2 linked regions of the Drosophila melanogaster genome follow. The protein of the gene in region 2 purifies or fractionates together with the protein of the main gene of each other region. This does not show direct contact. Each region holds a gene or a part of one and is shown on either strand. Other genes may lie near its edges.

The links.
Region 1: the proteins of Hpr1 (region 2) and thoc6 purify together in Drosophila melanogaster (affinity purification with mass spectrometry, with the first as the bait; 2 studies listed by BioGRID). This does not show direct contact.

The regions. Positions count from the first base shown.
Region 1 is NT_037436.4:12,190,196-12,195,610, forward strand, and holds thoc6 (thoc6), read right to left. Parts: upstream 3,494-5,415; 5' UTR 3,409-3,493; coding exon 3,296-3,408; intron 3,241-3,295; coding exon 2,301-3,240; 3' UTR 2,299-2,300; exon of another isoform or gene 2,234-2,298; coding exon of another isoform or gene 1,986-2,233; 3' UTR 1,930-1,985; coding exon of another isoform or gene 543-1,929; 3' UTR 501-542; downstream 1-500. Other genes in the region: Est-6 (esterase 6), read left to right, coding at 1-50, 102-349; Est-P (esterase P), read left to right, coding at 543-1,929, 1,986-2,233. UniProt on the Drosophila melanogaster protein: The THO complex is required for cell proliferation and for proper export of heat-shock mRNAs under heat stress.
Region 2 is NT_033777.3:5,818,237-5,823,627, reverse strand, and holds Hpr1 (Hpr1), read left to right. Parts: upstream 1-2,187; 5' UTR 2,188-2,295; coding exon 2,296-2,373; intron 2,374-2,440; coding exon 2,441-3,124; intron 3,125-3,281; coding exon 3,282-3,568; intron 3,569-3,626; coding exon 3,627-3,929; intron 3,930-3,983; coding exon 3,984-4,737; 3' UTR 4,738-4,834; downstream 4,835-5,391. Other genes in the region: CG46303 (uncharacterized protein), read right to left, coding at 1,281-1,547; CG42675 (uncharacterized protein), read right to left, coding at 4,870-5,379.

The sequences.
Region 1 (5,415 bases), on a different chromosome or scaffold from region 2:
CGAAAAAGGAATCGCACAGGTCCTGGCCAATCGAACCGATTATGATTTTGGTAAGGAAATCGTACTTTTAAATGGACTTAGTTAAATCATTACTTTTATAGGAACTGTACACGGTGACGACTACTTTTTGATATTCGAAAATTTCGTACGAGATGTGGAAATGCGTCCGGATGAGCAGATAATTTCGAGAAATTTTATCAATATGCTGGCAGATTTTGCTTCGAGTGATAATGGCTCTCTAAAATATGGTGAATGCGATTTCAAAGATAATGTAGGTAGTGAGAAATTCCAATTATTAGCTATTTATATTGATGGCTGCCAGAATAGGCAGCATGTGGAATTTCCGTAAGTTACATGAATAAAATCAAAAATTTTTCGTTCTGTGTAATTTTTAATTATTTAATTATTCTCAACTGGCTTTAAATATCATTTGTACAAAACGTGTTTGTCGCTTTATATTTTGGTTTTTGTTGTTTCTTTATAAAGAATAATAAACGTTTGTTTACCCGCAGTTTGATTAGTACTTTGTGGAGTTCCAGATCATGAGTATATTCAAACGGCTGTTGTGCCTGACTTTGCTGTGGATAGCAGCTTTAGAATCTGAAGCTGATCCCTTGATTGTTGAGATAACAAATGGAAAAATCCGTGGCAAAGATAATGGGTTGTACTACAGCTACGAATCGATTCCCAATGCCGAGCATCCAACTGGTGCCCTCCGTTTTGAAGCACCTCAGCCGTATAGTCATCATTGGACTGATGTTTTCAATGCCACGCAGTCTCCAGTTGAGTGCATGCAGTGGAATCAGTTTATAAACGAAAACAATAAGCTGATGGGTGATGAGGATTGCTTAACGGTAAGCATCTATAAGCCAAAGAAACCCAATCGGAGCAGCTTTCCTGTCGTAGTACTCCTGCATGGAGGTGCTTTCATGTTCGGTAGTGGATCCATATATGGACACGACTCCATTATGCGTGAGGGAACTTTGCTTGTGGTAAAAATAAGTTTTGGTCTTGGACCATTGGGTTTTGCAAGTACCGGCGATAGACACTTGCCGGGAAACTATGGTCTAAAGGATCAACGTCTGGCCCTACAATGGATCAAGAAGAACATTGCTCACTTTGGTGGAATGCCAGATAATATTGTGCTCATTGGTCACTCTGCAGGCGGTGCTTCGGCTCATTTGCAGCTGTTGCACGAGGATTTCAAACATTTGGCCAAAGGAGCGATTTCGGTGAGCGGCAATGCATTGGATCCTTGGGTCATACAGCAGGGTGGACGACGACGTGCATTTGAACTGGGTCGTATTGTCGGTTGTGGACACACAAATGTCTCCGCAGAACTCAAGGACTGCTTGAAGTCTAAGCCGGCTAGCGATATAGTCTCTGCTGTCCGAAGCTTCCTTGTGTTTTCCTATGTACCCTTCAGTGCTTTTGGACCTGTTGTGGAGCCGTCAGATGCACCAGACGCCTTTCTAACCGAGGACCCAAGAGCAGTGATTAAGAGCGGGAAGTTTGCCCAAGTCCCTTGGGCTGTGACGTACACCACTGAGGACGGGGGATACAACGCTGCTCAGCTGTTGGAAAGAAACAAATTAACTGGCGAGAGTTGGATTGACCTACTCAATGATCGATGGTTTGATTGGGCACCATACTTGCTCTTCTATCGGGACGCCAAGAAAACCATCAAAGATATGGATGATCTTTCATTTGATCTCAGGCAGCAGTATCTAGCAGATCGGCGATTCAGTGTGGAAAGTTATTGGAACGTGCAGCGAATGTTTACTGATGTTCTTTTCAAGAATAGCGTGCCAAGTGCAATAGATCTTCACCGAAAGTATGGCAAAAGTCCGGTTTATTCTTTTGTCTACGATAATCCTACCGATTCCGGAGTGGGTCAATTGCTTTCCAATCGAACAGATGTACATTTTGGTGGGTACATACTTGCGTTTCAAATACTTAAAGCTCTAGCTTTCTTATTATTAAAGGTACTGTCCACGGAGATGACTTTTTCTTGATTTTCAATACAGCTGCATACCGTACCGGCATTCGTCCGGATGAAGAAGTTATTTCAAAAAAGTTTATAGGTATGCTGGAGGATTTCGCACTCAACGATAAGGGAACATTAACATTTGGAGAATGTAATTTCCAAAATAATGTGAACAGCAAGGAATATCAAGTGCTGCGTATTTCACGAAACGCTTGTAAAAACGAGGAATATGCTCGGTTTCCCTAAGGAATAAATGCATTTAAAAAATGTAAACAGTATAATAATGTAATTAAAGAACAAATTTATTACACCTTTATGCCGCCTCAACTGTCAGAGGTTTTTCAATAAGTTCGTCTTCTTCTTCTGGGTCGTTTTCCTCGCCCTCCACATTCCCATACATCTCAATCTTGCTGTCGAGGAAGCGAAAATCCTTGAGGATATGCAACTTGTTGCTGAAACCAGCAATGGAAATGAATTTAATGGGCGATGTTTGCCAAACAGCAGAGTAGCAGGCAGTGTGCTCCACGGGAATATTGGCTTGCAGTACTCCATTTAGAGTGTAGGATTGCACATGATTGTGCTCTCCACCGATTAAGACACAATCGTCCACAAAGTCACATAGATGCACGCGTCCGGGGAAGCTAAAGACACATGTGCTTTCCATGGAACGCAGGTGGAAAATTGAAGCTTTGGGTCCACCACCGCAGAGCAGCCAATCCTCGTTGACAGCCACTGCTCCTATCCATTTGCCCCAATCCGGACGTAACAGATTTGGGTTCTTGTAAGGCTCCAGCATTGAAGTGTGCTGCTGCTGCTTGGTGCTCCACACTCGCACAGTGCCATCCTCGGCGCCAGAGAAGATCTGTCCGTTGGCATTGCCCACCACACTGTGCACGTAGTCTGTGTGTCCGCGGTACTCGCGCTGAATTCGTCCGTCCTCCAAACTCACTTGGTAGATCACTCCGTCGCCACAGCCAGCAAACAGGATGCTATTTTCCGAGTCCAGCCACATGGAGTTCACATCCGGCACTTCGACGGCATCCACTTGCATGGGTATCTTTACCTCCCAGGACCGTTTGGTGGCCAGAGATTCCTCCTCCTCGTTCCATTCCAATCCGTAAATAAGACCCACTGCACCAACTATCAAGAAATCGCGATGGAAGGCCAGGTAATTGATGTCCACATCGCTGCCCTGCGGGAAGATCTTCAGTTTGCCAGGTGGCTCCTCGGAACCCTTGTCCAGTTCTTTTATTCTTCAAAATAGAAAAACAATTAGTTGGGAAATTGCGCCAAATTAAGGATTCTCACCTAAGTACGAAAATGTCGCCAAAGAGATTTCCCGCAAATAGGTACTGTTTAGAGCCGGATATAGCCTGTGCTAGGACATTGTTGTAAGCGCGTTTCAGATCCTTTTGTTTCATATTTTTAGCTAATTTAATTAATTTAACCAAATTGTATCGCTTTGTTTACGCCGGCTCTCTAGAGTGACCGTTCCTGAGCAATATACCAAGAACAGTATATTATTTTTGAAAAATATACCTAAAAGTGCGTTAGTATATTACGTAGCATTCACGTTACGTTCAATTACGTTAACCGTTAGCCAACGTAACGTGGATTTTGAATTTACGAAATAACCTGTTTTCAATCATTCGACATTCTTTTGATTTTGAGGAAATACAATTGAAAACCAATTGTAATTGCAATTGCATGAGCAAAATCGTTCGCCGGAGATTGCAATTCGATTTCCTCATAAAAAATTTCATTCTCCATGTGTCTGCCACAAATTATCGTGTGTGTCAGAAGTAAGAGTGCTCTCCGTAAATGTTTATTTACGATTAATCTCATTAATTGTAAACTGGACAGCGGCCTAAAATCGGAATTTCAGCTTTAATCAGACATGAAGTTCGATGGCATTCAGCTAATTAAATATTTTTTTTTGCATTGTCACAGTGAGAGCCGATATTTAAGAAAGTCTGAGACCTTTCAGACAGGTGAAATACTAGTTGAGTTGACTAATCGCCTTAAAATATGGATTTGTAAACCCATCATGACGTTTAATATTTGACTCCATCCATTCAATTCATGACTTAATAAATTGGATTAACGTGAATCATCAGATGATGATGGAAAAGTCTTCAATATGACGTCAATTTTTGGGGAGATCTTTAAAGTTGAAGAGCGTGCTCGTACCCATGTTTGCCTATAAACAAATGCTGATTGCCCACTTATGATTGGAAAACAATAATAGGCAGCTTGAAATTAAATGGCTATCAACATCAGGTTTCCGTTGTTTACCAATCAAACATAACATAATTTACCTGATCTTTTATTTACCTTATAAATTCTACGATGCTATGGCTTCATCAAAAATTCCATGTTGATGATTAAGAAATACAATACAATATTTTCTACATTAAAATTGATCTAGTCGATGTTACACATAAAATGAAGACTATTGAAATTAAATGTTTCCCATTTAATAAAATACTCTTCCCCTATTAAATATTAAGATTAATACAGAAGTCATGTATTAGCCTAATACAAATTCTAATGTGTGTTGTTGATACACATTTTTCAGCCTGTTGTTCTCGGCCGTTCTAATCGTTCTAATTTATATGCAAATACCTATGGCTTATTAATGTCGAGACAGTCGATTTGAAATTAATTATTTTGGCGCCACAGAGCTGTTCGAACTGTCGCAGCATAATTCACATACTTGAACAAAAAAAAAAAAAAAAAAAACATCGAAAATTCCCCAATTCCCATTAAGGCCCAGAACTTTTGTGGAACTTCTCGTTGGGCGTTTGAAATGCGGTTTTCCGGCTTAATCAATGCCTTATCATATCGAGTTTTTATTTTTAAACGACTGTAGCTGCGCTTCATTTGGCATCATATTAATGGCATGCAAATTTAATTTGACAACTTGACGTATCATGCCAATTTGAAACGAGATTCCAAGACGATTTGCTTTTTTTGACGACTTTCTTAGGTTTTTATTGGACCATTTGGATTGGCATTTCGCACGTGTTTTTTTTTTCTGGGAATTCCAATGTGCTCGGAACCGAAAACAGATACATTTTCAAGTCTGGCTTACTGGCGCCAAAAAGTTTCTTTCAATTTGAGTAACGGCTATCGAGCGATCAAGCGATCAAGCGATCAAGCGATCAAACGATCATCTTTCTTTCTTTTTTCACCCCGACTAATGATAAATGCCTTTGATGAATTTTAGCCAAATTTTGTTTGCTACACAACAGCTCATGATGTAGTCATGGGAGTTTGTTTTTGTGTGGCCCAGTATTTGGTTGTATTTTGGGAAATCCCCAAGAGCCATAAATTTCTTCTAAGCGGCTCTTTCTTCTTTCTATCTAGCTTATTTTTGTTTGCCATACCTCGCTTCCCCTTCGCGAATTAAATTAGATCCAACCGGA
Region 2 (5,391 bases):
AGCTTAGCACATGACCATACCTTGTAAGCACAGCTCCTATATTTATATTATTTAGTGATTTGCCTAAGTTGTAAACGTGGTACAGCCAAAGACCCTAGAATAACAAGATGCGTAACGCCATACGATTTTTTGGCACACGATTTTTTGGCCGTGGCTCTAGAGGTGGCTCCAGGCTCTCTCGAATTTTTGTTAGAGAGCGAGAGAGCGAAGAGCGCTACAGCGAACAGCTCTTTTCAACGCACAAAGTGATAGCAGACATCTGTATGTGTGCACACGTATTCACATGCATTGTAAATTTGACAAAATATGCCCTTCACCTTAGAAGTTCTTTGGCTTTAAATCTATATTATTTTTTATCAATTGGCACCATGCGAAAAATTCTTGTTTTGCATTGCCTTAACGTTATTATTATTTGAAAATAGATTAGAAATAGTCAAATCTATGTACATATTATCACAAAAATAAATTTCAAAAATGAATTTATATAAGAATATTTGTCATTAGAGTATTCATCTTGCGGCGTGTGAAAAATTAATAAGGCAATGATTGTTGAGTGCTTGTGTCCGCACTTCGTGCCTCAAGATATGAACAAAGCAAAGACACTAGAATAATTCTATTGTCTTTGATATTACTTTTGCAATTTAATTTAATTGCATATTTAATTATTTAGTATATTTATTAAATCATTTGACTTAATATGATGTAACATTAACATTAAAAGTGTTTCAAAAAAAATATTTCGGTTTTAAAAAATTGTCAGATGAGAGACAAATTAGAATTAAACATAAATACAAATGTGTAAACGGTAGCTAATTCGAGCGGCGATTTTAACAAAGAAATTTAAAAAAGCTTTAAAATTATAATAGCCAGGGCGCGAATTTTTAAAAATTTTTTATTTTATCATATTGCTAGGAAATTGGCAAAAACTACCCTAATATGTACCATGTAAATTCGTTTCTTCGATCAGAATTGATTTCGGCCCGAAAATCGTCTTCTAGCACAACACGCACACTTATACGCGTTCTCGTCTCTTGTTTTTACTCACACAAGCAAGCAAATTATATTTTTAGATTTCTTACGCTCTAAGCGGGAGTGAGCGGAAAGAGAGTAATTTTGGCCGTCACCAAAAAAGTGGCTGCATAGTGCCAAACCAATGTATGGCCGTTACGCATCTTGTTATTCTAGTGTCTTTGGTACAGCCTAGTATAGTATGGTAAATGCAATTTATTTTTATTTAGAATATATGAGTGTTGTATATGTAGATAAAAATGTTAAGCAAGTTAGTAAGGGCACCTAGGCACTCCTCCGGGGTTTGTGAATCCGTTGGTGTTGACCAACCTGCAGATGTCCTTGTATGACCGCGCCGATTTTGCAGGCCTTTCTGGCTGTGGCTGGGAATAACCTCTGTTGTAATAGTCAGGATAGAACTGGAACCAAGAAGGCCTGTGGTAGTTGTAGTCGGGAAAAAATTCTTTAAGCACAGAGCTGCTGCAGAATCTGCTTAGCCCCAGAATCCACAGCAGAATGTATATAATCGACTTGCGCATGGCCACTTCGCCTGAGCTTAAGATTTGGAATAAAGCCGTACCCGATTCTCATTGTATACGCCTGGCGCACTTATGAAGCTTGTGCGACCTCGCACACAGTGGGAAAGTAATTGGAATCTGAAATCTATGCGTGATTGTCGGAATAGCTGATAGCGGGAGTGTTCGCGTGCCCCAGCTCAATGCTATCGTTATCTACAAACCATTCGGCCTTTAAATTGATGTATGATGAAAGTTTATTCAATGTGTGGTTTTTGACGTTTAATAAGAAAAATTCGATTTTGAGAAATGCATTTAAAATGCAATTTTTATTTATCGCAGTGAAGAATAAAATAATATATTTTTTCATTATATTTGTTACCAATTTAACAAAAATATTATGTAGTTGCTTTTTTAAAAGTCTTTCGGGTCAATAAGAAAAAAAAAGCTTACAAACAGAGTATTATGTTCTAAGGAATAGGACCTAAAAACCCTCATTACCTAATTGGTGTTTCAAAAACAGGTTTATGTGGTGCAAAAGGACAAATTTTGCTAACAAAAAAAAAAAAACACTTTTTTAAAAAAACTAACTTACAGGCGCCTAAAAAAAATTATAATCGATTTGTCATCGATTTTTTGGTCTTTAAAGTACTATAGCGGCGCATTATATACTAACCAAAACGAGTTGGCAGCACTCGTGATGTTTTGATTGAAAAAACAAATTAGTTTATTGTTTTTATCTGTTGTCGCCAAAAATATTATTTAAATCAATATGAGCACCGCCGTAGAAGTGGCTAACACGGCTCCGGAGAAGTTGGCCAACTACTTTGCGCTACAGTCGGCGTTTGAGGTAAAACGTTGATGAATGGCCCCGAAACCGGCAATGTTCCGATCTGATAGAAAATAATAATTTTCAGAAAGCCCTTGAATTGGCCATCACCGACGGCAAAGTGGAGCTGTTGGTCAAGGAGTACAATAGATTCCCGGCCAACACCGAGCACGACAAGCGCTTACCCATGGACCACGCGTTCCGCGTGCTCCTGATGAAGCGGCTGGACGAAGATGTGAGTCGCATTGGAGAGCTTGTACGCCTCTCCGTGGAAGCCACGCGGGCCGAGATTGTGTCCAACACCATACCCGTGGTTCTGCTGATCGACACCTTCGACGTGGTCACTCTGGACAAGTGCCAGAAGATATTTCAGTTTGTCGAGGATATGGTGGAGGTGTGGAAGGAGGAGATCTTCTTTTCCTCATGCAAGAACAACATTCTACGCATGTGCAACGACCTGCTGCGTCGACTTTCGCGCACCCAGAACACCGTCTTCTGTGGCCGCATCCAGCTTTTCCTCTCAAAGTTCTTTCCCTTTTCGGAGCGGTCTGGCCTCAACATCGTCTCCGAATTCAACCTGGACAACTTTACGGAGTACGGTCTGGACAGCAAAGACCACGACGAAAGCGACAACAAGGAGCTGGAGGATACCGCTGAGGACATCCCCCTAAAGATCGACTACGACCTGTACTGCAAGTTTTGGTCGCTGCAGGACTTTTTCCGAAATCCCAACCAGTGTTACAATAAGCCGCAGTGGAAGATGTTCCAGATGGTAAGCAGTGGCTTGGCACAATTACAATTGTAGAATATATATATATCTTGGAAAGAGATCAAAGATGTTTGCCAGCTAGCTTGCTCATAAATATTGGTTATTAATAATCCTGCCCCATGTTGGTTCATATTCATATATTGTTACTTTCCCCTTCCAGCACGCTGACAACATACTACAGTCCTTCTCGAGCTTCAAGCTGGAAGACGTGCGCCAAAGTAGCAACGAAAATGCGAGCGGTACTGACCAAGCAATGGATGTGGACGAGGAGGCAGTAGACACCACGGCGGTGTCTTCCGTCATCAAGGCGAATCACTTCTTCGCCAAGTTTCTAACCAATCCCAAGCTTTTGGCTCTGCAGCTCTCCGACGCTAATTTTCGACGTGCTGTTCTGGTGCAGTTTCTAATTCTATTTCAGTACCTGCAAGTCAGTGTAAAGTTTAAAAGGTTCGAATATGAAGAAAGTCCAGGGAAAACGAACAAACTTTAATGATTGTACTTTCAGTGATACTCAAACCTTGACTGCAGACCAGGCGGACTTTATCAAGGAAACAGAGTCGCGTGTTTATAAGTTGCTAGAGGAGACACCACCGTACGGTAAGCGGTTTTCACGGACAGTGTATCACATGCTGGCCCGCGAAGAGATGTGGAACAACTGGAAGAACGAAGGCTGCAAGGAATTCAAGAAGCCCGAGGAACCAACTCTCAGCGAAGAGGACTCGAAGCCAACTCCCAATAAAAGACCGCGCCGTCCATTGGGCGATGCACTGCGCGATGCTTCCCGCAGCGGCAAGTTTTATTTGGGAAAGTAAGTATCGAACGTAAGTCAAACTAAGCCAGTTCTAAAATATTTCACTTCCAGTGACAACCTAACACGTTTGTGGAACTACTCTCCAGATAACTTGCAGGCCTGCAAAAGTGAACAGCGAAACTTCCTACCGCTGCTGGAGACATATTTAGAAACGCCGCACGAAAAGGTTGATCCCGCTTTTGAGTGGCGAGCTCTGCGCTTGCTTGCCCGCCAAACACCGCACTTCTTTACGTCGCTCTCTCAGCCATCGAGCAAGATCTCCGATTATCTTGAGCAAGTGCGCAAACGTCTCATCCGGGACAAAGAGCCCAAACCTGCTGCCCTTTTATCGAACAACTCTTCTGAGAACAATTTTGGCCTGTCGGTCAACAACGTTCATACGGAGGGCGAGCAGGATGCTACGGTCGCCCTTCAGGACGGTGAACCAGAGCAGGATCTTGAAGTAGAGGACAACGAACCTGTGGTGGAAGAGGTGGATGAGGTACCGGCGCACGAGAAACCCCTTATGGTTACCAAAGAGCATATCGAAGAGGTGGCGCCCCTTATAGGCGAGCCATGGATGAAGGTGGGAAAGAAGATTGGCTTCACCAACGATGAACTTCTCTTCTTTCAAATGGAGCATCCTACGGCGAACGTGGCCTGCGTTAAGATGCTGACAAACTGGATATCCGATGACGACGACGCCACCCTGGAAAACTGGGCGTACATGCTAGAGGGATTGGAGATGAATAAGGCCGCCGAAGCGGTGAAGGCGATTATTGAGCGCGAAAAATCTGGATCCACTGCCGCCTTCTGCCTCCGGTAACGACGATGAGGTGCTCTCTGATTAGCATCATCCCCATGCCGATCCCACCCTAGTTATTATAATTTCGTTTCAATCATAAAACTTCTTTATCACAAGTAAAAGAATGGGCGAATATCTATTCCCAATCACCACTCAACGCCTCTTGGCCGGCGGACCGTTACGGGGCTTGTTGTGCACCATGTTAACGCACTTGGGGATATGACGCTCCGCAGCCTGTTCGTTGAATCGGCGACCACAGTGGGGACACTGGACATAGTCTGGATTCTCCGAAGGTGGCGGTGGTGGCAGGTCGCTCAACTTGCCGCCGCGCGCCAAGTGCGCCTTCACCTGCTTGGCCGCTCTAATCGACTGAATGAAGTCCTCGTGCTTCTTACGCCAGTTGTTCTTCTTCACTCCAGTGGTCAGACCCTTCTGCTGGGCAGCACTACTGTAAGTTGAACGGTTGCGATTGCCCTTCGACTTCATATTGAACGCCGCGGCCTCGGTGCCCTCGATCCGCTGCTTGGAGGCATCGAATATCTTGCGTTTGGTGGTCAGCATGCGCTGGCACACCTCCTCGTGCTTCGCCAGACGATCCGTGTTGAAGTGGCGTCCGCAGTAGCGGCATAAAGCGGTGCCCTCTGGGATTGCAGTCGTTGTGTCCTGGTAGCGAAG